Lytechinus pictus: one gene and its partners. The protein of the gene in region 4 purifies or fractionates together with the protein of the main gene of each other region. This does not show direct contact. Links are inferred from orthologs where the notes say so. Each region holds a gene or a part of one and is shown on either strand. Other genes may lie near its edges.

Region 1 (7,645 bases), on a different chromosome or scaffold from region 4:
GAAAAAAAAGAGAGCTTACAAAATGTCTAATTGGGTTGATCTTTTATTTACTTTCTATCATTGTATATATATATATATATATATATATATATATAATCAATATTCTTGCTATAATGTTTTATGTTTTATATACTTGTTATGTACGTTATGTTATGTTATGTTACTAATTTCATTAAGGATCCCCTTTCAAGCTCTCCCTCTTCTGGGTCTATAAACCTTTCATGATATACTTTTGCCAATCTTTATATAATATCACCTGACTGGTTTGAATAAAATTATATCTCTTAGGCCCCTTTATCACTTTAAAAAAAATTGAAGAACTTAAAATGAACAAAATTAAATGTAACCTATATGATCTCAGAGCCCATGGTCATTATATTACTCATTTAAAACACTAAAATAGTGACTACCCAGAAGGAAAAACCAGTAAGACCAGTAAGAATTTTTACTGGTTTCCAGTATATTTTTACTGGGCCAGTTGATTTTTAACTGGACCAGTAAAAATCAACCAGAGACCAGTTCAAACAATTGCACTCCAGTTGAAGCAATAGTAATACCAGTTAATTCTTTTTTCGTCAATCTGGTGTTACTGGTCCAATAAATAATGACTTTATTTCAAGTCAGATCCTTTGACGAATTATGGAAAATGAATCTTGCAATTCAGAGAAAGTTATCATCTTTATCATTTATCATTGTTATCATCATTCTTATAATTATTATCATTATGATTATTATGATCATTGTTATCATTTTTATTACTGTTATCATTGTTATTGATATTGTAATTATTTTTATTAATATTATCATAATTATCAAGTATTAACATTATCATTAAAATAATTATCTCCTTTAATCATGATTAAGATCAAAGCAAGATATATTCCTCTGATATAGTCAACTGGTCTAAAGTAATTCATTGTTTGATATTGAACTGGTCAAGACCAGTAATACCAGTAATTCTGATGATGGCTGATCACGTGGTTTACCTCATTTGCATATTTCCTGTTTTTAAAAGAAAAATCAGGATTTAGAATGGAATATCCTTGCAATGGCACTCATTGTTGTTGAAAAACTTTCTAAATAAGTGTGTGAACTAATCCACAATGAAAATGTGTAATTTCATATATCACATTTAAATAACAGCAGAAAGATTAATTTACTAACCGTCTTTTCCATCACATTTCACTGACCATGGTATATAACAAACCAAATGCTTGTAATAAATTGATCCAGTAAGACCAGTACGAGGACCAGTTCGACCAGTTCAAAGACCAGTCAGACCAGTAGAACATACCAGTATGAAGACCAGCGAGACCAGTAACAACAATCACCATCAAGACCAGTATAAAATTCCAGTAATTCAAGACCAGTTTAATTTTTAACTGGACCAGTAAAATTTTAACTGGACCAGTATGACCAGTTAGACCAGTAAACCGATGTTCCAATTTCCAGAGTTACCAGTTAAAATTCTACTGGTCTAACTGGTCCAGTGGAATTGGTTTTTCCTTCTGGGTAATATTCTTCACTCTCTGCATTGGATGGTTGAAGGAGAATGAATGAAACCTTTTGAACAAGTTTGTATGAAAACACACAAATCATTAAAGGAAGTCCACCCAAACAAAAAGTTGATTTGAAAAGAAAAAGACAAATCAAACAAGCATGACTGAATATTTCATCAAAATCAGATATGTCAAATAAGAAAGTATAACAATTTCAAATTTCGCTTAATTTCACAAAACAGTTATTTTAACATCCTTATTGGTATGCGAATAAGGCAACTGATGACATCACCAACTCACTCATTTCTTTTGTATTTTGTTAAAAGAAATGTGAATTATTCTGATTTTCTCCTCACTGTCATGTGAAAGGAATTTTATTCCTCACTGAATCTGTGGAATTACCATTGTTTTTAACATTTTGTGGTTCAGTCGAGTTGGTTCTTATTGTCAAATTTGTAAAAATTGAAATATTGTATAATTCAAACAATTAAAAAAAAAAACGATTGAGTGAGGGACATTGTTGACTATCTCATTTGCATGTCACTGAGTGGTGCATATATCTATTTAGTGAAAAATAAGCGAAACTTCAAAATGTCATAATTTTTTTTATTTTACATCCGATTTTGATGAAATTTTCAGCGTTATGCTTGTTGGATTTTTTCTATTGATTCAAATCAACATTTTCTTTGGTGGACTTGACCTTTAAAGAATAGGATCAATGAAATTTTGAGAAAAATACTATAGTCTTGGGAAAAAAATGAGATTGAGTAGCCGATATGTCACGCCATCATGAAATATTATACTGTTTAGTCTAATCAGTTGTTGACCAGAAATAGTTTCAGAACACACTTCAGATTTTATTATTTACCGGACACTACCCCTGGATAAAACAAATAAGGCCTGGCATATTTAAACCAACTGTGCTGCACTGATCCCGAAAAGACTGGAAAGGAAGAACTTGGAAGATAATGAGAATAAAGACGAGAATAAATATGCAGATAACAATCATTATGATAACTCTATACCCGTGGTGATAATTCAATAATGAAAATGACCAATAATATAAATCGTCTTGCCCCCAGCCCCCGGCCCTCATCAAAATATCTTGATGCCGCCCCTGGTTACAATGTTGCTTCTACTTAATTTATATAATTTTTATCATCGTATATATTAATATACAATATTTTGTCCATAACGGTTGACTTCATCTATTGCTTCATGAGCGTGATGAGCATGAAAGAACTCGTAATAAAACTGATTCTTTAAATATAGGCCTATAATACATGGATGTTCTTCGAGCTATTATTCTGATAACTGGTGAAGGAAAATACTTTACTTAGTGGTATATTTTGCTTAAGAGAAATGCTGGAAAATGCTTTTTAAACCATCTAACAATGAAACCATATACCAGCCGTACGTCCTATAAGCAGTTGCTTATATCATTGCAGCATGCTTTCTATAGCGGCAAAATACCCCCCTCCTCCGATACAGACAGACATAACAGCTATATGGATTTAAAGTTGTAGAGGAGTAGCTGGGGTATACCGGGAAAATAGAAGAATGCATAATATTTTACAATATTGAAATAAATATAATGCAATTAAACTTATACTAGGCCTGACGAATAAAGAAAAGAAAGATACCTCCACTGGCTAATGAGGGGGGGGGGGGGTGGGCTTTGGGCATACCAAGAAAAAGGGGGAAACTGAAAAGAAAAGACATACGTGAAGATATATAGGTAGGCCTATACATGCGGATTATGTCAAAATTTTGATCTCAAAGGTTTTCATCAAAACGTAATTTGCATTCACAATTAAGTGACTTAAAAAAAACCCGGTTCATTACCCCACACTCTAACAAACAGAAAGTGCCAAAGGCCAAAGGAGGGAAGGACTTCATCCCATGCCCTGATCCCTCTTGTACATCAGTACACTCTGGCGTACCGTGGGTCAAGGCATTGGGGGCACCATCAAAAATTTTGAGTCACTTAGTGGGCACGCGATGCACGCTCAATTTCCAGGTATACTGACCTAATAGAGACATTTTAAGGACTGTGCCATATTAAACGGATATGTATCTCACTGATCAAATAATGCGAGCGCGAAGGGCAACCTGAAAAATTGTGATATTCAGACATAAAAAGGGACATTATAAGAAAATTGTTGTAATCATGATACGTATCTGTCTCGCTAACTAATAATGCGAGCGCGAAGCGTGAGCTGAAATTTTCGTATATATTGAGTCCAAACGGAAATTTTAAGGATTATTTTTTAGAAATCGATTCACAGTATATATCTCACCATAGTCATCTAATGTGAGCCTGCTGCCAAGCGCTTGCTGATTTTGTAGAATTACATATAAACACATGAAGCATTTTTGTATTCATGATTAACATACGCATCTCACTATTCAAAATAATATTGCGAGCGCGAAGCGCGAGCTGAAAATTTAGGAAATTCAGACCTGAAGAGGGACATTCTAAGGCTTGTTTGTAGGAATTCATCCCGGGGAATTCATAAGACCATACGTATTTCAATAACCAAAATTAATGATGCGAGCGCGAAGCACGAGCTCAAATTTTTTTATATTCAGATCATAAAAAGGGACATTCTTAAGGACTGATTTTAGGAATTCATGAAGAGCAGACATATCTCACCAATCCAATAATGCGAACGCAAGCACGGTCTGGAAATGTTTATATTCAGACCTCAAAAGGGAGCAATCACTTTGTGTAGTCATGAAACGCTACATAAAACAATAATAACTCGAAGTGCGAGGAAATGTGTATATTGACTTGAAAACTGGATGTTTTAGTACAGCAGGATTATATATCTCGTTAAAAATTAAGACAATGCGAGCCCTGAGCAAATTATGTTTCACAAAGTTATGAAAAAATATTTCTTATGTAATATAACATAATTATATAATATAGTATAACATATTATAATGTACAATAATTTCTTCTTTCCCACTACGTATCTTTTCCTTTCTCCCTCTTTTTCTCCCTCCTCTTTTTCTTGCCAGCCCCCCTTGCCCCCTCCCCCGTAGTTATGTCACTGACTCTACAGTTGCTCGGCGCGGTCATCCCAAGGTTGATCGATCCCCATTAAAAAAAAATTATGATGTGGGAACTCAGAGTGAGTCCGGGGATAATGTTGGCCTTGTGTAATTTTTTTCTAGACATTCGTGGTGTTTCAAATATGAAGAGATAAATCTATCAAAAATAAATATTCACAACGACTATTAAACTCGGAATTTTGACCCCCCCCCCGATTAACGGTTTCGTCAGTTCCTCATATTATTTAACCCTCTTTTTCCCCCAAATTCAATTCAATTAGAGATACCATATTGTCATCAAAATTCGTTTCGAGTCGACTGCTGTGACTGTGTGAAAGAAAGAACGGAAAAAGACGGAATGGCGGAGGAAAAGAATGGTAATTTTTCATATTTGCTTGTATTCTTTCATTTTAGTGTATTGGTATAATGATGTGCATATGTCATGTATGTATATTTGTCGTGAGAAGAACAGTAAAGTGAGGGATTATTTCTTTAAAAATGAAAACAAGCTCTTGTGGAGACTTCAAGTCTCACACTTAGGGGAACACTCCCGCGTTCATCTACGGTGATTAAGCTTGTGTGTAATTCTAATTCAAATTAGCAAGGAAACGTGATATCGCTTAATTAGTTACATGCATAATAAATTGCACATGTCGATAATAGCTTTGGCCTTCTGAGCTTGGACGTAACTACATCAAGTGGATTTTGTAATTATTTGCATGTTATTTTATTGATGTGATTAATTGCATGTTGGCCCAGTGTTAAATAATTCTGATTGCATTTCTAATTCTGAATTGATGTTGGAAAAGAAGAGGATAAAGTTTGATTAAAAGAGGCCAGGAGACAGATCAGACTCGGACTTCAGAGAGAGAGAGAAGAGAGCATGATGATTTGAAGAATAGAGATGATGAAATACTTCTGAAAGTGATGAAATTCACTAATCTTTGTTGCCTAATGTTACAGAGCTCTCTTTTATATGTCATCAAAAGGAGTGATTTTTATTAAAAAGTTTTCATTAAAAATTTATTTGACTGAAAGATGATATCACTGTCTGAAGTGAAATAATCTACATTCTACAATTTAATCTCCACTTAATTTTGTATTTAGGATTGATATGTGATTAATTGTTTATGAATAAAATCCTTTGCTTGTGTTAGTTGTGTAAACATAAATATGATTGTTTTTGCTGTTAAATTACTGTATTTATCTACTTTTATTTCTCATCAGATGTTTTATTGATAGTTTCATACTGTACATCTGTTCTGATGATGATTATGTTTAATGGTGTTCATTAAAAATAGAACATTTAGGCTCCCCTTTTTGCTAATTATTTTTTTATACCCACTGTTTTTGTAAAAAAATAACAATAAATTCACTAATATTTTTCATTTAGATTAGTAGTATTTGATAAATTTCAAAATTTTATTGATTTGTTCATGAATGTAATATGTATCTCCCATTTTTTTTTTGGGGGGGGACAGTCTTTGAAAAATTGTATTTTCCTTATTATGATGACCTGGTGTAAAGTTTGAAATGAAGTACACACCCTCTTTCAAAATACAATATTTTGTAACAAAAAGATTCTAAACAAAACATTTTCTGGAGTGTTCTTATTCACTTGTTTGATTTCTATGGAAGGAAATACAATCTATTTTCTAAATATAAATCTGCTGACTCAACAATTTGTTTTTGCAATTTTTACGGTACATGTAAACCTTTTACATGTCTGATTGTACAGCTTCGCCATAAAATAATTTTATTTAACAAACCAATTTGACAATTTTTTTAAAGTAGGTAGGATATAAATTTTAAAAAAATTGACAGTAGGGCAATTCCATAAAATAATCAACCTTTTTGTACGTCCGACCCCCATTTTTCTCAAGTTTTACTCCACTTCATAAACAAGTCATGGTCATTTGAGAGCATTACAGTCTTTCAAAAGAACCAAAATCAGAGACAGAAAATTTCATGAAGATCCCACATATAGGGGGTCGGACGTACATATTTTATGGAATTGCCCAGTAGCATGAATATCTGTAAGCTTTTGATTTTCTTTTAATTATCATTTTGAAGAAACCCCAATGACTGATGAATCTGAGGAGGAGGAGGAGGAAGGAGGACCAGGAGTCCAGATGATAGAACCTCCGGAACCAGAACCAGTTGCTTTAGATCCAAATGCTTATGTAAGTAGTTTGGTTTATAATTTACTTTGTCTGCAATAGATTTGGCTACTTTTCAGATAGTCTCATACCACATGGGCTAAACCCATTTGGCCTACCATCAGTTAGGTTAGACTACACTTAGACTAATACCCAGTCTAATTCTCAATTAGTCTAATGCCCGGTCAGTCTAATTTCCACTTAATCTAATCCCTATTTTTCGTTTTGTAAAATTAAAATTTGGTTCATGAATAGTTTATCTAATCATATCTAGACTAAGTGGTGTTAGACCAAGTGGATATTTGACAAAATGGGTAAAGCCTAACTTGAAATGAGACAAAATGGTACAGTACATGGACTTATTAGCAATTAAACCAAATGGTTAGTAGATGAACTGGTTGTAGATAAACTAGAATTACACCATGTGGGATGAAACCAAGCAGAAAGTTGACAAAGCGGGTGTAGGCCAAGTGGTAATTTACCCCCAATTACCCACTGCGATTTATGGGAAGGTGGGAAGGTCTTCAAAGCCTCATAGGTATATTTAGTGCCACATTGTCATCAGACAATCAATTTTTCTATGTACCTGTACATGTATATGATATGAAATTATAACTATTTTGGCTCAAACATGTACATGTATATAATATGATTATAAAAATCTGTTAATGAAACTTCTTTTATTCATGTTTTATGTTGAACTGCGAAGAGCTAGCCTACATTATCAGAACATAACATTTTTAAATGATATAAATATTGTTAGTTGTTATTATGAGATAAAAAAGGAATGTATGATATAGCTGGGCCACTCATTTGCACACCACATTGTTCTGTAATGAACCTTAAGGATTTTGTTTCACCGGTGTCCATAATGCTGCAACTATGAATTGCATGTTATAAACCCCTACCAACTTACCAACCTACCAAAGA
Region 2 (7,699 bases), on a different chromosome or scaffold from region 4:
CAATTACAAGACAAACCAACAGAAGTCATAAAGTAAGCCAAGAGCTTTTGGAAGTTACTTCTACATGTAGCATCTATAATTATTCTATTGCTTGAAGTTTTATTAAATTTACAAGTTTGCATTATTCAAAAGCTACAGCACAGAATATGTGTGTAATTGCGTTTTACAGACATATATCAATGAGCTACGATTAATTACTCATCAGACTGACCGCTCCAGGTCAAAGTCAATGATAAATGAACTCTCAGCCAATCAGATATAAGGATTTCAGTAGCTTATAACAGTTGCCAATGAAAACCATCGACAAGACACTTCATGAAACGGTCCCCATAACTGTCTTTCAACAACTTACTGATGCTTGTGATGTTACTCTAGCATTGCGCCCCAAGTCTCCCATAGCTCCTAGAATGTGCTGTACGATGTTCTAAAATTAAAAATTAATATGAATATGCAATGAAAGTTATATTATTTCTTTCAATCTTGAAAAATTTATATTTTTTTAAAAGTAGGTCTTTACTGAACAGCTGTATAATAATGTCAGCAATGAAATATAAAAAATAAGAATTCTGGAAAATATCAATAAATATTATAAACTTCTATGTCTTTCGTGTTATGTATTCTTTGTCTTTTCCACATGTAATTTATTATTTTTCTGTTCATTTTATGCAGAGAAAAATAAACTTGAATTGAAAATGGATCTCTAAGAATCTGATTACAAATTCTTTTCCAACAAATGTGGAGAAGAAAAACTTGGAGAAAGGCTGTAACCACCTGATTAATGTTAAATAATGAGGATGGTCATTGGATAATAGAACAGCTGATTACTTAGAACGATGAATCAATCACTGAAACCAGGAACAACAAAAATAAACGAGGAGGGTTTGAATAAAGGCCCTTGACATATTGCTAGCATAGCATACATGTCATTGCTACTATAATCTTTGAATATCAGAGATGGTGTAATACTTTGCTGACCTTTGCTTTTGGTCTTGTCTTTAATAGGCAGAGTCAATTATATGCAGTCTAAATGAGAAATTAATGTCTCATGGCCTCAAAACTCCAAAATCATGTCTTTGAATCAATCGCTAATCAATGTATACATACCTGAACCTCGTTAGAGTTTGCAGAAAGACCAGGCTGCTGAGATGGGGCAGAAGTAGTGGAAGAACCGCCTCTCTGTTGCTGGGAACCACTCGCACTGGTGGTTGCAGGTCGTGGGGGCGCCCTCTCCACCAGATGCATGACCTTTCCATGGAGGTTATACTCGGACAGCTTCTTCTCATCCTTGAGGACTTGACCGCCGTAAATGAGACGTTGAGTGGCAGCTGCAATGCCCTGAAAGCGATCATGTTAAAGAGATTACATTAACAAAACGAATCCTACTTAAAGCAAATTATGAGCCAGCACCCTTGTTTCGCACCACATAAAGTCCTCAACTACTTGAATCTGGCCTGGTTCCTTACTCATAATGCAACATTCTTGTCAAATATACCCACTTGAATGAAAACACACTAATTTACTACTCAATACATTCATACTGAAAACACATGTAATGATTGTATAGTTGAAAATTGAACATAATTTTATTTCAATCAAGGTTACTCACAAAATAAGCCATTTACTTTTGCTGAAAGTTTTGCTTAAAGCCAATTAGATGAATTAATCAATCCTGTGACTGTAATTCCCATGGCCTCAATTGATCTTCTTAAAGAACATTCATTTCCTGTGAGTTACGTATGTATATACAGTCATTGAAGGATTTTATTTGAAGAATTCACATGAAATTCCTTTAATGATATATGTAGGCCTACAGTGCTACTCTTCTTTGTAAATAAGTGATAGGAGAAAATATCTTACCACAGAACCTGCAATCTTTTCCTTGAAATCCTTCACCGTCAACTATTACAATTAAAGAAAATAAATAAGGTATAAATACATATAAATACTTCCAATTCATATCTAAACAATGAGAATGAATTAAGAAATCATACAAATTTGCTCAATATAAATGTTGTATTAACGATAAATGTTTCCTGATTTTTCTATACACTTAATATATGAATCATCTCTTGCTGAAGTGTAATTTTTATCATTTCCCATTCATTTAAATTACATTGGCATTGTTAATTAACATGTTGTTGTCAATTGAAATTATCATAGCTAATTAAAGTGGTATTGTAAACTGAAAATAAAATGCAATATTGTACATTATGAATTATAATATTATAAAGTATGAATTTTATGAATTTTAGTAAGCAATTAACCAGAGGATCCGTTTGAAGATTTTAAGTCTGCTAAAAAGGACATGGAGCCTCTTTCATAAAGAGTTACAACTATGGTTGCTTTACAATTATGACAACTACCATGGAAACCTTGATTGTGATTGGCTGCTGAGCCCGGTTACCATAGTAGCTACCATAATGGTAAGTTATATGTTGAAAGTCCTTCATGATATGGGCCCCTAATATTAAATGAGGGTCAATACCTTACCAATTGGCACTAAAGGACAATAACACATCAACTCTGAATCAAACCTATGTTCACTGGATAACAGAACCAAATGCTTCATCAATGGAGCTTTTGCACCTCCTAATTATTATTACTAATCACTGACATAATCTGTATTATCACTATCATCAGGGGCAGATCCAGGATTTTCTAAAGGGGGGGGGGGGGGTATTTTGTACAGGAAAAATATGACAAGCAAAAAAAAAAGTCCTGAAATGCGTATGCATGACAAAATCCCCTAAGATATCTTCTTGTGCCTTTCAAAGGGTGGAGGGGGGGGGGGGCCATGGGCTGGATGTGCCCCTACCTGGATCCACCACTATCATTCATTATTATATTGAGAAGAAATAAATCAAGCAAACTTACATCCTCTGATACAGAGAATTGCCTGGTTTGTGAATCCAGGGTCTTTACAGTAATATCAATCATTATGATCCTCTCTCTCCCTACTCTGTTGTATCAAGCTTTGATCCTAAATCTAAAGAAAAGTAAAGATAAAGTAAAAAATTAAATGACAGGATACTTCACACCACAAAATCTAACAAGTGGAAAGCTTCTGGCAGTCTCGCCTGCAGCACTTGTCTAATTCAATATAGCAGCAGTGCTGACTTGATGAAAAAATAATATGCAACTTTATATAGCTCTTAATGCAATGCATACTATTACCTGGGCTTTAGTATGGCTATCCTGGGGAGCTGTTGATCAACAGTTTTGTCCAACAAGTTGTCAGATCTGACAAATTTCCTTGAATCTGACTCCCCTGATCAGACGCTCGAGGCAAGCATTCATACTGGGTAGGGGAGAGTGGGGTAAATAAAGCCCCATTTTTCATAATTCCACTCATATTTGTTTAATGCAAAGCAGTAGAAACATGATTAGATGTCAAATATAAGGTCTACAGCAGACATACATTATCCAATAGAAATATAAGATCTAATCAATCCCATTTGCATATTAATGAGCCTTAAATATTGTTGTCAGCGCGCCTTATTTGCACATCAAAATGGGGCAAATGAGTCGCCTTGATTAAAAACTATTTTCAAAGCTGTATTCAAAGTAATAATAGTTCAGTTGGTTTGATACAATCACTGAACATTTAATAACAATCACAGGATTGATATTTAATTATTTTCCCAAAGGCCCCCATTTAAGGATCTATTTATAATAATAATAATAATATTCTGCATTTATATAGCGCTTAACACATCGAAACGACGTCTCTAAGCACTTTACAGATATATTATCACCCCAGTCATCGGATCCTTGCATGCCCGCATACAATGTATGCACCTTCTCCACTCCCTGGGGAGCATTCCAACAAGAGTTCCAAGACTCAATTGCTAGGCATACTACATAGGCTTTCGCATCCTACCGGGTACCCATTTAACACCTGGGTGGAGAGTGGCAAATTGTGGATTGACGCCTTGCCAAAGGCGTCAATTATATCCAATATTATGAAAAAAAATTATTGTTGCATTATATTATTACGTTTCTCCATGTTCTAATGAAAATGAAAACTTATAGCGTACATAAGCAAGTGTAGATATCTACACTGCATATTGCTGTTTTAAGAGATGTAGCAATTCATGCCTACATGTATTCTTCATGCCTACATGTATTCTTCATTTTCTTGATAGAGGTACATGTAACTGAATAAAAACAATTTCAAGGAAATATGGAAAAAAAATGCAAATTTCATGACTTTAAAGATGTTAAATGTAAAATTTCATCAACATTTTGGGCACAGTCACACAGTAACAAGTCAGACTTGGAAATAATTTTATTCTTTTAACTGTCGTTTTAACAGTGATTAAACACTTTGACTAAGTAGCCTGAGTGTAAAAGCATACATACATGTATGAATCATAATTCTAGACATGACATATTATTTATATATGTTCAATGCAAAAGATCACATTAGGCCTGGAACTTTCGGGTATTTTTGTCTTCGGGTACCCGTGGTAATTTTCGGGCGGGTACCCGAAAATCATGTCGCATGAAATATGACTGGTGGAAAAAACTCATAGGTGGAGTCATCCAGCCACTGCGCCGCAAGCCAATTTATGAATGAAAATATAGTAAGCAGTGCAAGCCTCCCGTGAATGTCCTATGCGTAGTATACCAGGGTGCGACATAAGCGCTTGCCCGATTGCCCGGGGCAAGTAAAAGTTAGAGTCGGGCAAGTGTTTTGAAGCAAAGACAAAAACTGCTTGCCCGAATCGGGCAAGCAAAATTCTCCTATGGAAATTATATTTTAGAAAGATTCCCCATCAAAATATAGAAAAGAAAAAGAGAAAAAAAAGCAATATCATTACCGTAATTTCTTCTTTCAAAAAAGTTTATAATTCGAAATTTTGCAGAATTTGCGCCATTTTGTGCAATAAACACACAGCTCAGAGACGTACACACACACACAGAATGGCAGTCTAGCATACCTAGCTAGCTAGCGCCTAGTCCACGCAGCCGATGCATGTAGTAAAGTTTCTACGGTGTACGGTGCTGCACGAACGAAGTTTGCTCTGGAAGAAATCTCCCACAGAACTGTCAAAATTCACATTTCTCACCGATAAAAATTCTTGTAATGTCCATATTTCCTAAAAATTGGGGTAGCTCTGTCATTTGTAAGCAGTAAAAGGAGAAATTTTCACTGCTGTTATGCTTCAAAAAGATCGGGTTTCGACTGATCGTCTGAAATACATTGTTTGACAGTCCCACATATGCATTTGTGTGTATGTTGATAAACGTGGTTTCTTTCGTAACTATTTTTTTTAGCCAAGGAAATTGATAAATTTTCTTCTTTATTTATGACTGGATAGTTTGAGCTTTCTTCCTCTCTATTTTCTTTCTTTCTGCCTATATTTCCTTCTTTTGAATCTCTCTTTATTTCTTTAAATTTCCTTCCTTCTTTTGTTCATTTTTTCTGTTACTATAGCTGTCTTTCTTTTTGTCATTCTTTTCTTTCTATCTTTTTTTCTTTCTTCCTTCCATCCAACCTTTGTTTACCTCTTTCTTTAATCCTTCCTTCTTTTTCCCCTTCCTTTCATTCTTTCTTACTGTCTTCCTTCAGTCCATCCATTCTTACCTTTTCTTCCTGTCTTTTTTTCTTCCTTACTTTCTTCATCCCTTTCATTCTTTCATTTCTTTATTTCTTTCCTTCATTTCTTCGTTTCTTTTTGTCTTTCATTCTTTCTTTCTCCTTCCTTCCTTTCTTTCTGTTTTTCTTTATTTCTGTCTTGCGTTCTTTTGATCTTTCTTTTTTCCATCCATCCTTTCTTTTCTTCCTTATTTTTTCTTTCTGCCTTTCTTCATCTCTTTCCTTCATTCCTTCCTTCATTTCTTTCTGTCTTTCGTTGTATCTTTCTTTTCTTTTTTTCTTTTTTTCCTTCCTTCCATCTATCCTTATACCTTTTCTTTCTTCCTATCTTCCTTCTTTCCTTTCTCTCGTTTTCTTTCTTTCCCTTTTCCTTCCTTTCTGTTTACCTTTTTTCTTTCTTGTTTTCCTTTTATTCATTCCTTTCTTTCCTTCCTTTCTCTTCCTCTCATTTTTTTTCCTATTTTTTTTCTTTCCATCCTCCTTTCCCTTCTTTCTTCCTTTCTTTCTTTCTTTCTTTCCATCTTTCTCTTCCCCGCAGCCATTCTCTCTCTCTCTCTTTATTTCTTTTTTTTCCCTTTTTTTTTTCTTCCTTCCTTTATTTCTTCGTCCTTTCTGTCTTTCTTCTTACTTTTTTTTCTTTCATTCTCTCCCCCTCTCTTCATTTTTTTTCTCTGGTTATTTTCAGTGATTTCCCCTTTATTTATTGTGTGTCCTAGTCCCTTCCAAAATATATGGAAAATATATGAGATTAGGAAATTAAGTAAAGAGCATATTTACCATTCATTTTGTCATGATCTTCAAGATAAAAATCATTAAAAAAAAAGAAATACCGGTACAACTACAAGGTACATCAGTTGTAATGTTGAAAAATGTATTTTTAAAGCCGTCAATGGTATGGTATGTAAAACTATAAGGCTATAACTTGTTTTGAAGCAATAAAACTTTGTTTTGAAGGATTTTTTCGGGCAAGTGAAATCTATATTCGGGCAAGTATTTTCCAACTATTTGAAAATTTACTTGCCCGACTGGGCAAGTGCTTCAAAAAAGTTATGTAGCACCCTGTTTACCATCGAAACAAGTCTGCAATACTCTGTCACCTCTTACCAAAATCGACCTAGAATTCCACTTTCCTATATTTTATATGAATTATGAAAGGTATTCTCGGAGGATCTGTTTTCTCACCGATACCACACAGGTAAGCAAATTTTGATTACTTCTTGCTTTTCCATCAAAATCTTACGAAGTAGCGTCAATATTACATCGTGTTCATGAGTTTGTAGAATCTATCGCTACGTGCACAAAGTCAATTGACTTCCAGGTTTCGGAGCATCAGATAAGCCAGCCAATCACTATCGTGTTACCATTTTTGGTTTTATGATGAACTGAAAATGGTACACGAACATAATTGGCTGGCGCTGCAAAAGAAACATGGCGACGATTGAACGATCTCAGTCACATCATCACTTGAAAAACTTGTATATTTATGGATATTTCGAGGGTAATTGGTGATATTCAAAATGAGACTAATGTACTTTTGTGATGAGTTACAATCATGTCTAACACTACGCAATGCAAATCAAATACATGTACGTTATACTGGTGAGCAATTTTTGGGTATCGGGTATTGATTTTTCTACCCGGGTACCCGAGGCTTCCAGGCGGGACCCGGGTTTTAGTCCCACCCCTAGATCACATCATATTCAATACACATATTTTAATCAGAAAATATTTGTTGCAAAAGTAAAATCTAGTAACATTAATATTCATGTATCATGAAGCAATAGTTAAATTGAAATATGATTACTGTCATTTATCCATTTTAGTTGCATTCCTATAAATCTTCCCCCAATGCTACGGACGCGTGCGTCCTTTACGATGGGGAAGAACAATAGGAAACAAGATGGTGGCGAAAATATCGGGCAAGTCTCCTCCGTCTTTTCATAATATTTTTCTAATATAATATTTTTTACTGGCCAAAAATCACCAATTTTGAGGATGACCGGAGGATGGACATGGAGTGAAATAAGGGTGAAGAGTAAGAAATTAAGCTTTTATTTATTGTTGACTACCGTATAACCGCCAGAACTCGTACACCTT
Region 3 (7,476 bases), on a different chromosome or scaffold from region 4:
ATTTCAGGAATTTCATCAAACTCTACCAAAATATGGTATCAAAAACGCTGACATGCAAACAGTGAAAATTGATGACATCACACTTTGGTACTCTACGAGTTACAACCCTCTACTGTTATCTCAACAAAGTGACAAAAAGAAAGGATACGGAAATCTGTCGCTCCAAGTGGCCCTTTTGATGTCTCCCAACTGGATGACCGTCTGGACAGTCTCTAGCAGCCTACCCCAAGTTTCCTCAAAATTCACAATCCTCGGCTTCAGTGACATGGCTACGTCAACAAGATGAGATCCCTGTTAATAAGTGGGGAGAAAACAAACAAAACAAGTTAACATAAATACATATTTGACGAAATAGGAGCTCCAAATAATAATGAACCTGAAGTTTCAACATAAATCTTTTTATAACAGCCTATGGCTGTATTGTTGTATGTTTTGTTCGTTTACTTTCAAGTGTATTTGTGATGCCTTTTCGTTTCAATGTCACATAATTGTTGAGAAGTGTGATATGATGTCCCGGAAAGACTTTCTTATGTCCCCTCCACTAATTGAAAAAGTACTTCTCCAAACGCCCTTCTTTCGTTATCTTTTTCTTATTTTTTTCCTTCTTACTTCCGGTTGGATTCTTGGATTTGAACCTCTTGCTGCAGCACATGGCATCTCCAGTCTGTCGCCTTACTCACTGAGCTAGCAGGAATTGTTGAAAGCCATGGGTTTCATAACGGTTGTCAACCGATATATCCAATAGTATTGGGTATTCACTTTTCTGACTAAATAAACCAATGCCATTGGAAATTACACACTCAAGATTTTGACGGAATAAAGCCTTTTTTTGGTATGTATCCAACTTTACCTTCCTAAATCTCTTAGATATGTGTTAGATAATTCTTGATAAACCTTCTCCATATTTTTTTTTTCAATTTTAGTGGAGGGGACATATGGAAGCCTTGCCGATGTCCCTGGGGGTATCCTTTAGGTTTGGCCTTGGGGCAAGGCGTTCATGTGGATGAGTTACTCATCGTGAACACTCCTAGTACGGTAGTGTTCTCCTCCATTTGACATGATTACACCGTGAGCGCACACTCACCGAAACACACAAGAAGACTAATTTTCATGATAATGACAACTGGTTGCCTACTTTCACCTTGATTCATCTAACTAATAGTTTCTAACACAATTTCACAACATGACAATAAAATTGTGCTTTTAGGTTAAGTTACATTGCATCGCCACTGGGTGATTTCAAGTACGGTGTTGAAATCTGGTGTTGGTGTTGTGAAAACATCAACACCAGCCACAACACCGTACTTGAAATATCACGCAGGTGTTGGGATTGACCTCAGAAAATATGATGTATTTCCGGCAGTTCGTGTTGAATTTCGTCTGCTGAACTGAACATTACAGCTGGTGTTGACGATCTACATGTAATTTCCCCATTCACCAACACCAACCCCCAGGGATTGGGAAAATCGTGATTTCAAATTCGGTGTTGATGAACTGTAGCTCATGAACAGGCGGTGAACACAATGAAACATCCCTGTAAAATTATCTTTTACAGTTAAGATGAAAATGATATTTACGCTTTCCGATTCTTGCAGTAATTTTAATCTTTGCATTCTGTACAATAAGATTTTATTGCAATTTCTCCCTGATTTCACTTCCGCCGTCGAGAATTTCTCGCGTGAAGTTGAGATGATCAGCAGCGCAGGGCAGAGGCGTGACATCTTACTAGCTATCGATAACACGATCGGTATCGCTCCTCTGAACCCAGATCGGTGTTGGAGCTCGGTTTAGCAGCCTTTTCACGCTTAACACCAACACCGAAACTGAACACCGTAGATCTAAGTTACTAAATAACAGTTATGGTTGGAACTACCCCTTATTGACCACCTAATCTTCTAAGCATCATATCTGCGAAAATATTCATCAATTTTACCCAGTTTTCGTCTCATTTGTGCAGAAAATTGAGCAGATCAAATTCCCATGTTTCGCTCGGCGACTCCGATTCAATCCGCGTATATATCGACGAACAACGAATACGACGATTTTGCATTTGCTCATTTGCACCCGTCTTTTGAAACCGACCACCCGCGATACACTAAGTTTACGGCCGATTCTTGTCGCGGTGGCGAAATATTTTTATTCTTCCAAATCAGTTCTATGATGTCAACATGCTAAATGATTGTCTCACTACTTCCACTGCGAGCTCCGGCACATGATTCGATGATTGACGACGGATATTTGTTCTAAAGCCGTTTCCTATCGGATTTCTTGGTTTTTCAGCGGGGTTTGGGTCTGGTCAATACAATTTTGATTAATTCTAGGCCTACTAAATTTTAACTTTTTGTTGCTTCTTTTTCTCTCGTAAAATCGATTCTTACCGTTTCCATGGACACTGCGCCTACTCTCCCGCGCGTATCGTTTGTAATACGCAATAATTTTAACGCGCGCAAGGTGGTCGGTTTCAAAAGAGGTGGTCGATATGTGGTAGTCTCACCATACTTGAATTTTGAAATCACCCACTGTCAATGACAATGTCATTGACATTCACATTGACGAGCAGACGAGTGGTTCCAAACACCACAACATGATTTTGAATCATTTTGTAAATAATCTGTGATAAGTGTAAGGCTGCTTTTTTCTGTTGTGTTTATGATATCAGATTTTCTAGATATTAACTGAATGTTTAGACAACCGGCCGCAAATCGCGCAATTGACGAAAACCTGCCATTGCCATATTTAAGGGAGTTGGCCCAGCGCAGATCCTTACGAGAGGGACTGAAGTGAAGAAAGCAAAAGCAAAGTTGACGCCTTGACAATTTCCAGAACATTCAGAAGTGCAGTTTCTCACCTTCAAAGAAGACCTTTCCTCTGTCTTTCCTATGCCCTACTGTGTTACTCAGTATTTGTGATCAAAAGCTTATTAAAGGTGAATGATGATGTCACTGCCGGAGTAGAGTCAGCCAACAATAAGCTAGCCAACAGCAAGCCAGCCAACAGTTCCAGCCAACAATATCGCGATGTAAGATAGATCAGATACAGGATTTTGCGCACGAAGAGAAGCGTGCATTCTTGTACACAAATCAAACAAACGGGGTCAGGTGGGGTTTCCCTTCTTTCAATTTGTAAAGAAACACAACGGGCTAGTGCTTTAATTTTAGTAGCCCACACCCCTATATACTCTATGTTTTTTCGTATATTGAGGAGTAAATTTCAACAAAAAGTCCTCTTTATAAAATACAATTGGAAGATTGCTCCTGAAATATATTTTGGGTGTGTGTAGGGGGGTTTCCCTTCTTTCAATTCGTAAAGAAAAACAACGGGCTAGTGCTTTAGTTTTAGTAGCCCACACCCCTATATACTCTATGTTTTTTCGTATATTGAGGAGTAAATTTCAACAAAAAGTCCTCTTTATAAAATACAACTGGAAGATTAATTGCTCCTGAAATATATTTTGGGTGTGTGTAGGGGGGTTTCCCTTCTTTCAATTTGTAAAGAAAAACAACGGGCTAGTGCTTTAGTTTTAGTAGCCCACACCCCTATATACTCTAGGGTTTTTCGTATATTGAGGAGTAAATTTGAACTAAAAGTCCTCTTTATTAAATACAATTGGAAGATTGCTCCTGAAATATATTTTGGGTGTGTGGAGGGGGGTTTCCCTTCTTTCAATTTGTAAAGAAAAACAGGGGGCTAGTGCCTTAGTTTTTGTAGCCCACACTCATATACATTCGTATATATATATTCCACGTTTTTATATATATTGAGGAGTAAATTTGAACTAAAAGTCCTCTTTATAAAATACAATTGGAAGATTGCTCCTGAAATATATTTTGGGTGTGTGTAGGGGGGTTTCCCTTCTTTCAATTCGTAAAGAAAAACAACGGGCTAGTGCTTTAGTTTTAGTAGCCCACACCCCTATATACTCTAGGTTTTTTCGTATATTGAGGAGTAAATTTGAACTAAAAGTCCTCTTTATTGAATACAATTGGAAGATTGCTCCTGAAATATATTTTGGGTGTGTAGATGGGGGTTTCCCTTCTTTCAATTTGTAAAGAAAAACAAGGGGCTAGTGCCTTCGTTTTAGTAGCCCACACCCCTATATATCTAGGGTTTTTCGTATATTGAGGAGTAAATTTGAACTAAAAGTCCTCTTTATTAAATACAATTGGAAGATTGCTCCTGAAATATATTTTGGGTGTGTAGAGGGGGGTTTCCCTTCTTTCAATTTGTAAAGAAAAACAGGGGGCTACTGCCTTAGTTTTTGTAGCCCACACTCATATACATTCGTATATATTCCACGTTTTTATATATATTGAGGAGTAAATTTGAACTAAAAGTCCTCTTTATAAAATACAATTGGAAGATTGCTCCTGAAATATATTTTGGGTTTGTGGAGGGGGGGGGGTTAATATCTCTCAATTTGTAAACAAAAAGAAAGGGCTAGTACTTAAGTTTTAGTAGCCCTCACTTCTATATACTCAAGTTTTAAGAATATTGAGGAGTATTTTTTAAAAAAAAGTTCCTGATAAATGAAGAGAGCTATCGTATTTTTGAAGGGAGTGACCCTTTTTATTCAATTTTACAGTGCGTATCAATAAAAACGGGACAGTTATGAAACGTCTATCAAAATACCCTTTTGAATTATGATGTCTATATTTTGATGTTCATAGATGCTCTGAAATCTTATCGATCAAATTCAAAATGTTTTTTTTCTTAATTTGTTCATGCTTGAGTGCACACGAGATGGTTTTGTCGGGGGTTCAAATATAGGATTGCGCTAAGTGGTAGGAAATGAAGTGTATGGTTATAAGACTTCTTGCCAATCAGCAGATTATTTTTGCCATAGTTTTCAGATTTTGGTCGCAAATGTCACGTACAAAGCTGTATATTTACTTTACTTTTTCATTTCAATAAATTATTTTTTTGCAATTAATATTCTTTCATACTAACATTTTTTATCAACCAAGAATGACCCAATTTGTAATTAGGAATTTGAGAGCTTGTAATCAATTCAAACCATTTTATTTTATGCAACAAGCAGATAAATCCTTTTCTGTTAGAATTGATAATTTAATATCCTATCTAACACACAATTATAATGATTTGAATAAAGTACAGCAAATTCACCCTATTAACAACTAACAATTAACAATTAGGGGTTTGGTGAATGATAACATCTGTTCTCGTTGTGAAGTAGAGGAAGATATTCATCACGCTTTCATTTCTTGTGATTTGAACAAACCATTCTTTGAATTTTTGAAAAAAATAATCCAGCAAATATTTCATAAAGATTTAGAAATCAATCATTAAAATTTTGTTTAAACATGAAGTAGACGAAAAATTAGTTTTACTTCTGACTATCGCACTTTGGTGCATTCACAAAGTCATCGTTTTAAGAAACATGAGTGGAAACGAAAAGAGAGGCAATCCCAGAAGGAAAAACCAGCACGGCTGGACCAGTTACACCAGTAAAATTTAATTGGTAACTCTGGAAATTGGAACAAAATATACTGGTCTGCTATAAGATGGACCAGTAATTTTTTGATGGTCAACTTTAACTGGACCAGTATAATTTTAACTGGACCAGTAACAAATATACTGGTCAAACTAACTGGACCAGTAATAACTTTACTGGTCCAATTTAACTGGACCAGTACAAATTGTGGTGGACCAGTAATTTTACTGGTCAAATTAAACTGGACCAGTACAATTTTTGCTGGACCAGTAATAATTTTACTGGTCAAATTAAACTGGATCTGAAATTCATATTTTTAAGAGAAATAGAAAGAAGAATAGAAATGAAACCTCGGTACAGGAAAAGATATGTTCATCTACCCAAAGAAATTATGGAATATATTTGAAACACTGTGAATTTCATGTTTCCATTTAATGTTTTTTTTTAATTCATGTTAAAGATTACGTAAGATTATTGCACAATTACATTATTATGTAAATTTTGGTTTTAATTTCTGAAATTTCCTGTAATGTCATGTATGCTCATTTTCATAATGTGTTATGTTGTTTTGTTGTAAATAAAATCCTCTAATTGAGGCCCAAAAAAAATGCAATTAGGCATTTCTTGGGTTGACTTTTATTAATTATTAAATATGCAATCCTAAAAAATAACTTTTTTTTAAAAGTAACTAAATAAGTTTGTGAGTGAATTTTGAAACATAATTTTAAAAACAATGGCAAAGATAATGAAAATGTTAAGAGGAAGTTTACTGCTTAGCAGGAAGTCTTATGACCATATATTTTGTTTCCTCTCATTTCTGCACAAACCTATTTTTGAACCCTTGACAAATCTCGTGTTCGTTCAAGCATGAACAAAATTCATTTCTTAAAATTGCATTTAAAATATAAGGTTTCAGAGCATCTATAAACATCAAAATATAGACATCATAATTTGAAAAGAATTTTTGATAGACTTTTCAAAACTGTCCAGTTTTTATTGATACGCACTGTATTGATAGAATGAAGGGGCTTGTCCTTTGATAAGGTTCACTGGCCCTCTCTTATTATTTGCGCCCTTTTAAAAAGTATTTCTTTTGTACTATTGAGGGGTGAATAAAAATGAAAGTATTCTTGACTGAAAAGCAAAAGTGAAGATTGCTCCTAAAAGAAATTTCGGGTGTTTGTGGAGGGGAGTTTCCCTTCTTTTAATTCGTTTATAAAGGGGGGGGGGGTTAGTGCCTACATTTCAGTAGCCCACACTCCTATATATTATTTATATCCTTTTTTGTCCTTATTTTAGTGTTGACAGTAATTGGGGATTAAATAAAATTAAAAAACCTCCTGATAGCAAACGGAAATATAGCTCCTAGAAGACCATTCGGTTGTTTGTAGGAAGTTTATTAAACCTCATTTCAATTTTTGGATACTAAGAAGGGCTAGGGCTGAATTTTTTAGTTGCCCGCACTCCTATAATATACTCGATGTTTTAAAAATATTGAGAATGATATAATGGAAAAAGATTGCCTGTTGAAAGCAAATAGAAAGATTGCTCCTGGTAGAGCTTTCAGTTGTTTGTAGGGGGTTTCACATATTTGCAATCTAGGGTTACAAACAAGGGGCTAGTCCTAAAGTTAAAAAAAAATTGTGATCCCACCCTCCTGGGAAGATTGATCCATAAAGAAATTTCGGGTATGTGGAGCGAGTTCCCTAATTCCTTCAATTCGTTTATATTAACAAGTGGCAAGTGCGCGTACACACACACACACAAACACACACCATCACACTGACACACCCTCACACGGACATATATACATGTACATATATATTCATATTTTTTTATATATAACTTCGAGGGAATTGAAAAAAAAAATGGTTGGAATTTATGAGGGCTCCAGCCCACAAAAGCACTCCCCCTCTCCATCTGTACGCCAGTGTTGATAACAAAAGAGAGTCAGAATAACAGCTATAGAAACAAGTGACCAAGCGAGAAAATTTATTGGGTATTGAAAGTTAATTTGCATTATA
Region 4 (6,853 bases):
TTAAATCCCTGATTCGCTCCACATTTCAAAATTCATGCGGTAACCGTTACCATAGAAACTAGTTAAGGAACCTGATATCCACTTGGACTAGCTGCAATGAGGTATTAATCTGAAAAAAATGAACATTAGTTGCTATTATTATATCATTTACATTTAACTATATATGTATCATATCAATATCTATTCGGATCCATTATCATGTTGAAATATGAAAATTTACTTTTACTACAGAACGATTTGTTGTTTTTCTGTTATCCAAGTTATGCAAGTGGTTCAAAGAAATCCCGAACTCGTCTATTTCAGTGCGTTAATGGTAGCGCACATTGGTGTTTACATTACAATTCGTTTGGTACCATGTATGTGATGAAGTGCTGTTCTACTATACGAACTGGCCAAGATAAATCCTTTCATCACTAACTAATTTAAATCATTTTGGCGTGAAAATGTTTGAGTTTAATCATATCAACGATAAAGTATATACCTAAAATGAAAAAAAATCCAATTAATATTTCATCAGTTCATAATACTCATTTTGTCGATAGGAGTCCATTCAAGGTCAATAATGATGACTGATGTTAACTGGAAAGGTTCGATCCTTGCTGATCTAGCATACCTCTGTCATTTTTTCCTCTGCCATTATTACCTCTGCCATTTTTACCTCTGCCATTTTTACCCGGCACCGACTTTCAAAGGGGGGGGGGGGCACACCTATCTAAGAACGGCATATACATTACAATTTTTATTATGGCTCTCAAAAAGGGGACACGGGCCGGATGTGTCCTAGTCCCCCTGGATCCGCCAGTGCACTTAAAAAATAAAGCGAGCGCGAAGCGTGAGCTGATTTTTTTTTAATATGTATTATTATTTTGACCTATATAGGACTGGGGCATTCTAAGGAAATTTTGTCATTATGTGAAAATAATGACTATCTTCCTTTTCCTTTTCTTAGTACGAGATGAAACTTGTTTATATTTCATTTTGAAAAAAAAATGACAATTTAAGAATTCATGAAAATGTTATCATTTTATTCATTAATCTAATAAGCCTCATGAGAGAGCGAAATTTGTTGATATTAAGGCCAGAAAACTTTTAAGCACTCATTTAATTATGAATCAGATGCATGGATTGTATCATAACAATAATCATGAAAAAGGGATTTAAAGTAGTTTGTTAAAATTAATATAGGTATACATAACTCACTAATTAAAATGCAAGGACGCAGCGCTAGCTGATACGTTTTGACAATCATACCTGAAAAGGGATATTTTGTTAAATTTATGGAATACACGAAGAGAATAGGTGTACTTGACAAATTAAATAATGTGAGCGCGCAGCGCGATCGAGCTGGAAATGTTGATATTCAGACCACAAAACGGACATTTTACAGTCATGACAGAACACTTAAACAAAAAATTGTTAATTAAACAAGATAATGGAAGCTCGATGTCCGAAAAATGTTTTGTATATAGACTTCAAACCTTGATATTTTAAGCTCCATATCGGCCTATTGAGCAAGATATGCATCTCATTGAACAGGCAATGCGAGCACGACGCGTGAGCAAAAGTTTTATATTGTGACATGAGGGATTTAAACAATTATTTTTCAAGTCTTATTTACTCGTCTTCCTCCTCTTTTTTCCTTTTATTGTACTTTTTTCTCTTTTCCCTTCTTTTTCCTTTTTGATCTTGCTTTTCCCCTTGTTTTCTTGTTTTCAGTTGCTCCGCCATAAAAAAAAACATGGGGCATACGTCCCCCTTAAAAAAAGTGTGTGTGTGTGGGGGGGGGGGAGACGTGTCCCCCTGTCCACCCTGGGATTTCCATCAATGAGAAAATAACATCATATATTTCACTTTTCCTTTACTTTGTTGTTTGTTCTTGGTTGTGTATTTTGGGGGCCATGGCCCAAACCCTTCCATCTGATGTTTAAGACAGACCGCTATTTCAATCAAATCGCGGGTATATTACACAGTAAAAACGCTGTTTAAGATTTTATACAACGTTGTTTACTATATGAACCTTACAGTATTTGTTTAACCGTTTAAACAATCATGTTTAATTTATTGACAATTAGATATTGAAAATTAAACTTTATTGCTTAAGATTTAAACAGTTGTATAAACAGTTTAAACAATTACTGTAGGTTCATATAGTAAACAGCGTTGTATATTTTTTTTTTACTGTGTATAGAGGGAAAACTTTTACACAGCACATTAATTCGACGATGTGGGAAAATTTATAAAAAGTCGCCAGCCTTTTGTCTTTGGAAATGTAATTCTAATTTTGATGATTTTTACATTATATCATTGTTTTCCATTCATTTCATTTATTTATTTTATTTCCCCTTGGTGGTGATTGATGGAATCACCCCGGCCCCCTCACTGTACGCTATAGTGCTTGAACGTAAAGCGTAATGCAGGAAGGGTCCGCCGGGTACAAATGCCCCGGCCGTTGTAGAGCCGATTTGAAGGTTACAAATGAAGAGCCCTAGAGCCCCCGCCGTAGCTTTGGAGATTTAGCCAAAGTGCATTAACATTAAGATGTTTTTACGGTAATTCTTGCCAGCATATAGCTTTACTGAAATGTAGGGGCAGTAGCTAGCATACGCAGGGGGGTGGTGCTTGGGATTATAACCCCCTGTTTTATACACCCCCTAAGAATTCAACCCGCCTTAGATTTGTTTTTAAGACCTTGTTTTGTTTTTTTGCTTGTCATTTTTTTTTTGGGGGGGGGGGGGGGGTAGGAAACGACCTGAAATTGGTGGTGAAGACCCTTTTTTAGTGGGGGGGGGGGGGGTCGTCAACATTTCATTCAGCTTGATACCCCCCTTAAAAATAATTCGACCCTACTGGGCAGCCCTGTCGAGTTATGTATTAGAAGTTCTTCCTTTTTTTTCTCGTCCCTTTTCTTCATTTTCCAAATTAGCTAAAGTTCATTTCCCGATTTTCTTTATCTTTTAATTTATTTCCCTTTCTTATCAATCATGCTAATGCATAGTATTTCGGGATGATTGTTTCTTTCTTACAATACATGTTCTTCTTTCCTTCCTTTTCCCGCTTTCCTTCCGTTTTCTCTTTTCATGCTTTTTTTTTCAGGCATAGGATCCCTGCTGGCCTCCGCCACGTACCTCCGACTTTTGGCTTACCTAATGGCAACCATAATTGCCAGATCTTTAAAAAAAACAACAACAAATTTATAAGATTAAAAAAAATACTGTTTTTAAAAGCTTTTTCATTTCTCCTTTATTTTTTTCCTTTCCCCTTTTCTCCCCCTCCCACCCGTACCTTTACTTTTTGTCTTCTTTTCATACCAGTTAGTCTCATACCATAGAGATGTATACTAGTATACATCTCTATGTCTCATACACGGAAAAATTATTTCCGTGGTCTCATAGGAATGACGCAATCTTTATTTCTAGAAATTCAAGCATAGTCTGCTAGCAAGAGTAGACTTTTTTTTAAAGTAGAAACCAAAATAAGAGCACCCTATCTCTATAAAACCGTCACCATTCTTATCGATCTATCCATATTTTCCTCTAGAAATACGATATACAGAAATATTTGTCAATATTTATTTTACAGCGCAAGAATGGTATTGTGCAATCGTTTAATATGACAAAGCTGGTTCGGCTTGGTTTTTTGTTTTCTTTCCCCACTCTGTAATAACTATTGTATTTGAAAATAAAAACGTATCGAATCATATTGTTTTGTATGTAATTTTGAATTTATTATATAAAATTTATCTATATTAATTTTTACATGATCGTGTAATCATCTAATTTTATATGACTGATTATTTGTAGTGCATTTATCTCTAAATCACTATAAATGTTCCGCTTGATTGCTCTCGGTATATATACACGTGTATTAGTTTGGTCCGTGAGTCTTGAAGATAAACTAATTATTTCATATGCAGCAAGTTTGCGATTTCACTGTGAAGACGAATGCACTTGCTGTTTTCTTGTTTAAATCATCAGAAATATGGCTGAAAATTCTCAGTAAGAATTTCATATCTTTATTTTGTTTAACTTTATGTATCGAAATCACGTGTGATGTATTTTGCTGCTCTCATGAATGAAGAGAATTTATTACTCGGATCTGGCTTTGTTCATATTCGGTCATCACACACATTTTCAATTTCACGAAGTCATTGTGCGTGTATGAGATGATGTGAGTGACCGGCGCGGCGAGCTTTTTACAGCTACCCACGTACACTACAGACTACACTCTACAGTACAGGCCAGTGCAGCGCCAGCCAACCAAAGTGCGTGTGTGTGTGGTTCACTGGTTGGAACTACCCCTTAATTATCGACCACCTAATTTTCTAAGCATCGTATCAGCGAAAATATTTCTCAGTTTTTACCTAGTTTTCGTCTCAATTGTGCAGAAAATTTAGGAGATCAGATTCCCATGTTTCGTCTTTCGATTGACGATCCGATTCAATTCGCGTATGGTCGGGGGTCCTAAAGCTGCGCGGGTCCTAAAGCTACGCACCACTCATAGCGCATGCAGTTTTTTATGGCAAATGCGCACTCTGTGTGTGGAACTGTGACTGCAGAGTGACGAACGATTCCTAATCAATTTTTTTCTACAGAGGTTGCAGTAAATCTCTAAATGCAGAGAAAACAAACAACTATTTGGATTTTTGGAGTTATATTCGCTTTAATTTCATTTTATCCTATAATAATGTGAATATATTTTAGAAATTGAGGCACAGGAAATACTTTTTTTTTGCATGATAAATCGAGTGCGTAGCTTTAGGACCCCTTCTACATCGGGCGGCGAAATCAAGAGGTGTTCGGAAAACACGGCGGGATTTTCGTGTTAGTGAGTTTAGCGATATTTTCTTCTTGGTTAATGATCTTTATAATGTTTGCCACAAATTAGTGAAAGATAATTTGTTGAAATATTAAAATTGGGATATTTTTTGTTGTTTGAAAACAAAGTGCGTAGCTTTAGGTCCCCCCATCATATATGGTATATCGGCAAAAAACTAAGTAATAATACGACGATTTTACATTTGCTCATTTGCACCCTTCTTTTAAAACCGACCACCCGGGATACACTAACCGTTCAAGTTTACGGCCGATTCTTGTCGCGGCGGCGCGGCGAAATATTTGGACTCTTCCAAATCAGTAATGTCAAAAATGATCCTCTCACTACCGTACTGGTACTTCCACTGCGAGCTCTGGCACATGATTCGAAGATTGACGACGGATTTGTTCTAAAGCCGTTTCCTATCGGATTTCTTGGTATGAACAACTGTTTTTCAGCGGGGTTCGGGTCTAGTCAAAACAATTTTGATAAATTCTACTAAATTTCTACCCCCTTTCGTTTTCTCTCGTAAAATCGATTTTTACTGTTCCTATGGACACTGCGCCTACTCTCCCGCGTGCATCGTTTGTAATGTGCAATGATTTTAATGCGCGCAAGGTGGTCGGTTTCAAAAGAGGTGGTGATGGTCTCACTATAACGTTAGGCCTATCTGGTAACTGAATGTAGATCTACGTCATCTAGTACCTCGGTCACATTTGCTCTACGGCGGCCGTACGGCGAGTCGAAAACAGCCGTTTTAAATTTTTTTTGTACCAGCTACATATAGGTGGTTTGAAATAAAATTAATAAAACGGCCGTATTCGACTCGCCGTACGGCCGCTGTAGAGCAAATGTGACCGATGTGTTACGTGGTCATGACTAGCCAGGAGGCTCCTAGAGAGTAAAAATCATTTACTAACGTATGCTTACTCTCAACGGAGCCAGGAATTTCTTCCCATTCATCTGCGTGTACCGCAAAAAAACCCTGAAACTTTCGCCCCCGAGATTTCTACTTTCCTTCCAAAAGATCTAGCCCTTAATCATGTACATGGGATACAACTTCATTTCCGACATTTCTACGATATCGATTTCATTTTTAAACAAGAATTAATTCAAAAAAATATTATGAAAAGACGGGAAAAACTTGCCACCGTGTTTACGTCGCCATCTTGATTTCACTGTCTTTTGCGTGGCGACAGCACGCAAACCGCGCGGAGGAGCAAGTTAATGAGTTTTCATAACTAGATCTATTTTTTAGTCCAGTTGTGATCGATGCAAAATGGGATGAGAGATGCCTGTGTGTGATGGTGCAATAGTTCATCTAATTTTTAAGTTTGACAATGTTTCACTTTGAGACTTATTCATTTCTAAAATATTATAGTTTTTCGAAATCTTTAAAATATATTTAAAAAAAACCAAATATCATTAAGATTTTTATTTGATTGGATTTTTTTTTTTTGCTTGTAGTTTGAACCTTTTCCCTTTCTTTCTTTCTTTCTTTCTTTTGTTCTTTCATCTTTTTTTTCTATCCTTTCTTCATCTTTCTATCATTCCTACTAATTTACCTGGCTTTTTTTGTTCCATCTATTATATTTCCAATCTTTCATAGCTTTCTTTCCTGATCCTTTCTCTTCATTTTTCTTTCATTCCTTCTTTCTCTTACTTTCCTTTTTTTTCCCCCTTTTTTGTTTCCTTCATTCTTTCTTTCCTTAAACTTTTCTTTGCTTCCTCCTTTTTTCCTTACTTTGTTTTTCCTTTCTGTCCTTCATTTTTCTTTCACACATTTATTCATTTTCCCTTCCGTTCTTTTCCTTTCTTTCTTCATTCATTTCAAAGAATGACAGAAACCTTATTTATTTGTTTTATTATTTCTTCATCCTTCTTTTATTTTTAACTTTCTTTCTTTGTATTTATTTTCTTTTTTCCTTCATTTTCTTTACTTCTTTTTTATCTTCCTTTCCTTTCAAATCATCTCTTTTCTTTCTCTCCTTCATTCTTATGTTCACCCTCCCTTCCTTTTCTTTATAATTTTTTTAAACAA

What was found.
Region 1: the proteins of transitional endoplasmic reticulum ATPase-like (region 4) and protein phosphatase 1 regulatory subunit 7-like purify together in Homo sapiens (affinity purification with mass spectrometry; 3 studies listed by BioGRID and IntAct, with this or other methods). This does not show direct contact. The link is inferred for Lytechinus pictus from reciprocal best matches to the Homo sapiens genes VCP and PPP1R7.
Region 2: the proteins of transitional endoplasmic reticulum ATPase-like (region 4) and large proline-rich protein BAG6-like purify together in Homo sapiens (affinity purification with western blotting; 4 studies listed by BioGRID, with this or other methods). This does not show direct contact. The link is inferred for Lytechinus pictus from reciprocal best matches to the Homo sapiens genes VCP and BAG6.
Region 3: the proteins of transitional endoplasmic reticulum ATPase-like (region 4) and cullin-2-like purify together in Homo sapiens (affinity purification with western blotting; 3 studies listed by BioGRID and IntAct, with this or other methods). This does not show direct contact. The link is inferred for Lytechinus pictus from reciprocal best matches to the Homo sapiens genes VCP and CUL2.

Annotation. Positions count from the first base shown.
Region 1 is NC_087258.1:4,634,173-4,641,817, reverse strand, and holds the start of protein phosphatase 1 regulatory subunit 7-like, read left to right. Parts: upstream 1-4,633; 5' UTR 4,634-4,914; coding exon 4,915-4,933; intron 4,934-6,629; coding exon 6,630-6,739; intron 6,740-7,645. UniProt on the Homo sapiens protein: Regulatory subunit of protein phosphatase 1.
Region 2 is NC_087259.1:30,465,138-30,472,836, reverse strand, and holds the start of large proline-rich protein BAG6-like, read right to left. Parts: upstream 3,006-7,699; 5' UTR 2,938-3,005; coding exon 2,875-2,937; intron 1,900-2,874; coding exon 1,858-1,899; intron 1,336-1,857; coding exon 1,105-1,335; intron 425-1,104; coding exon 353-424; intron 1-352. UniProt on the Homo sapiens protein: ATP-independent molecular chaperone preventing the aggregation of misfolded and hydrophobic patches-containing proteins.
Region 3 is NC_087257.1:3,623,981-3,631,456, reverse strand, and holds the start of cullin-2-like, read right to left. Parts: upstream 3,027-7,476; 5' UTR 2,849-3,026; intron 292-2,848; 5' UTR 268-291; coding exon 149-267; intron 1-148.
Region 4 is NC_087255.1:27,478,319-27,485,171, reverse strand, and holds the start of transitional endoplasmic reticulum ATPase-like, read left to right. Parts: upstream 1-3,827; 5' UTR 3,828-3,978; coding exon 3,979-3,995; intron 3,996-6,853. UniProt on the Homo sapiens protein: Necessary for the fragmentation of Golgi stacks during mitosis and for their reassembly after mitosis. Involved in the formation of the transitional endoplasmic reticulum (tER).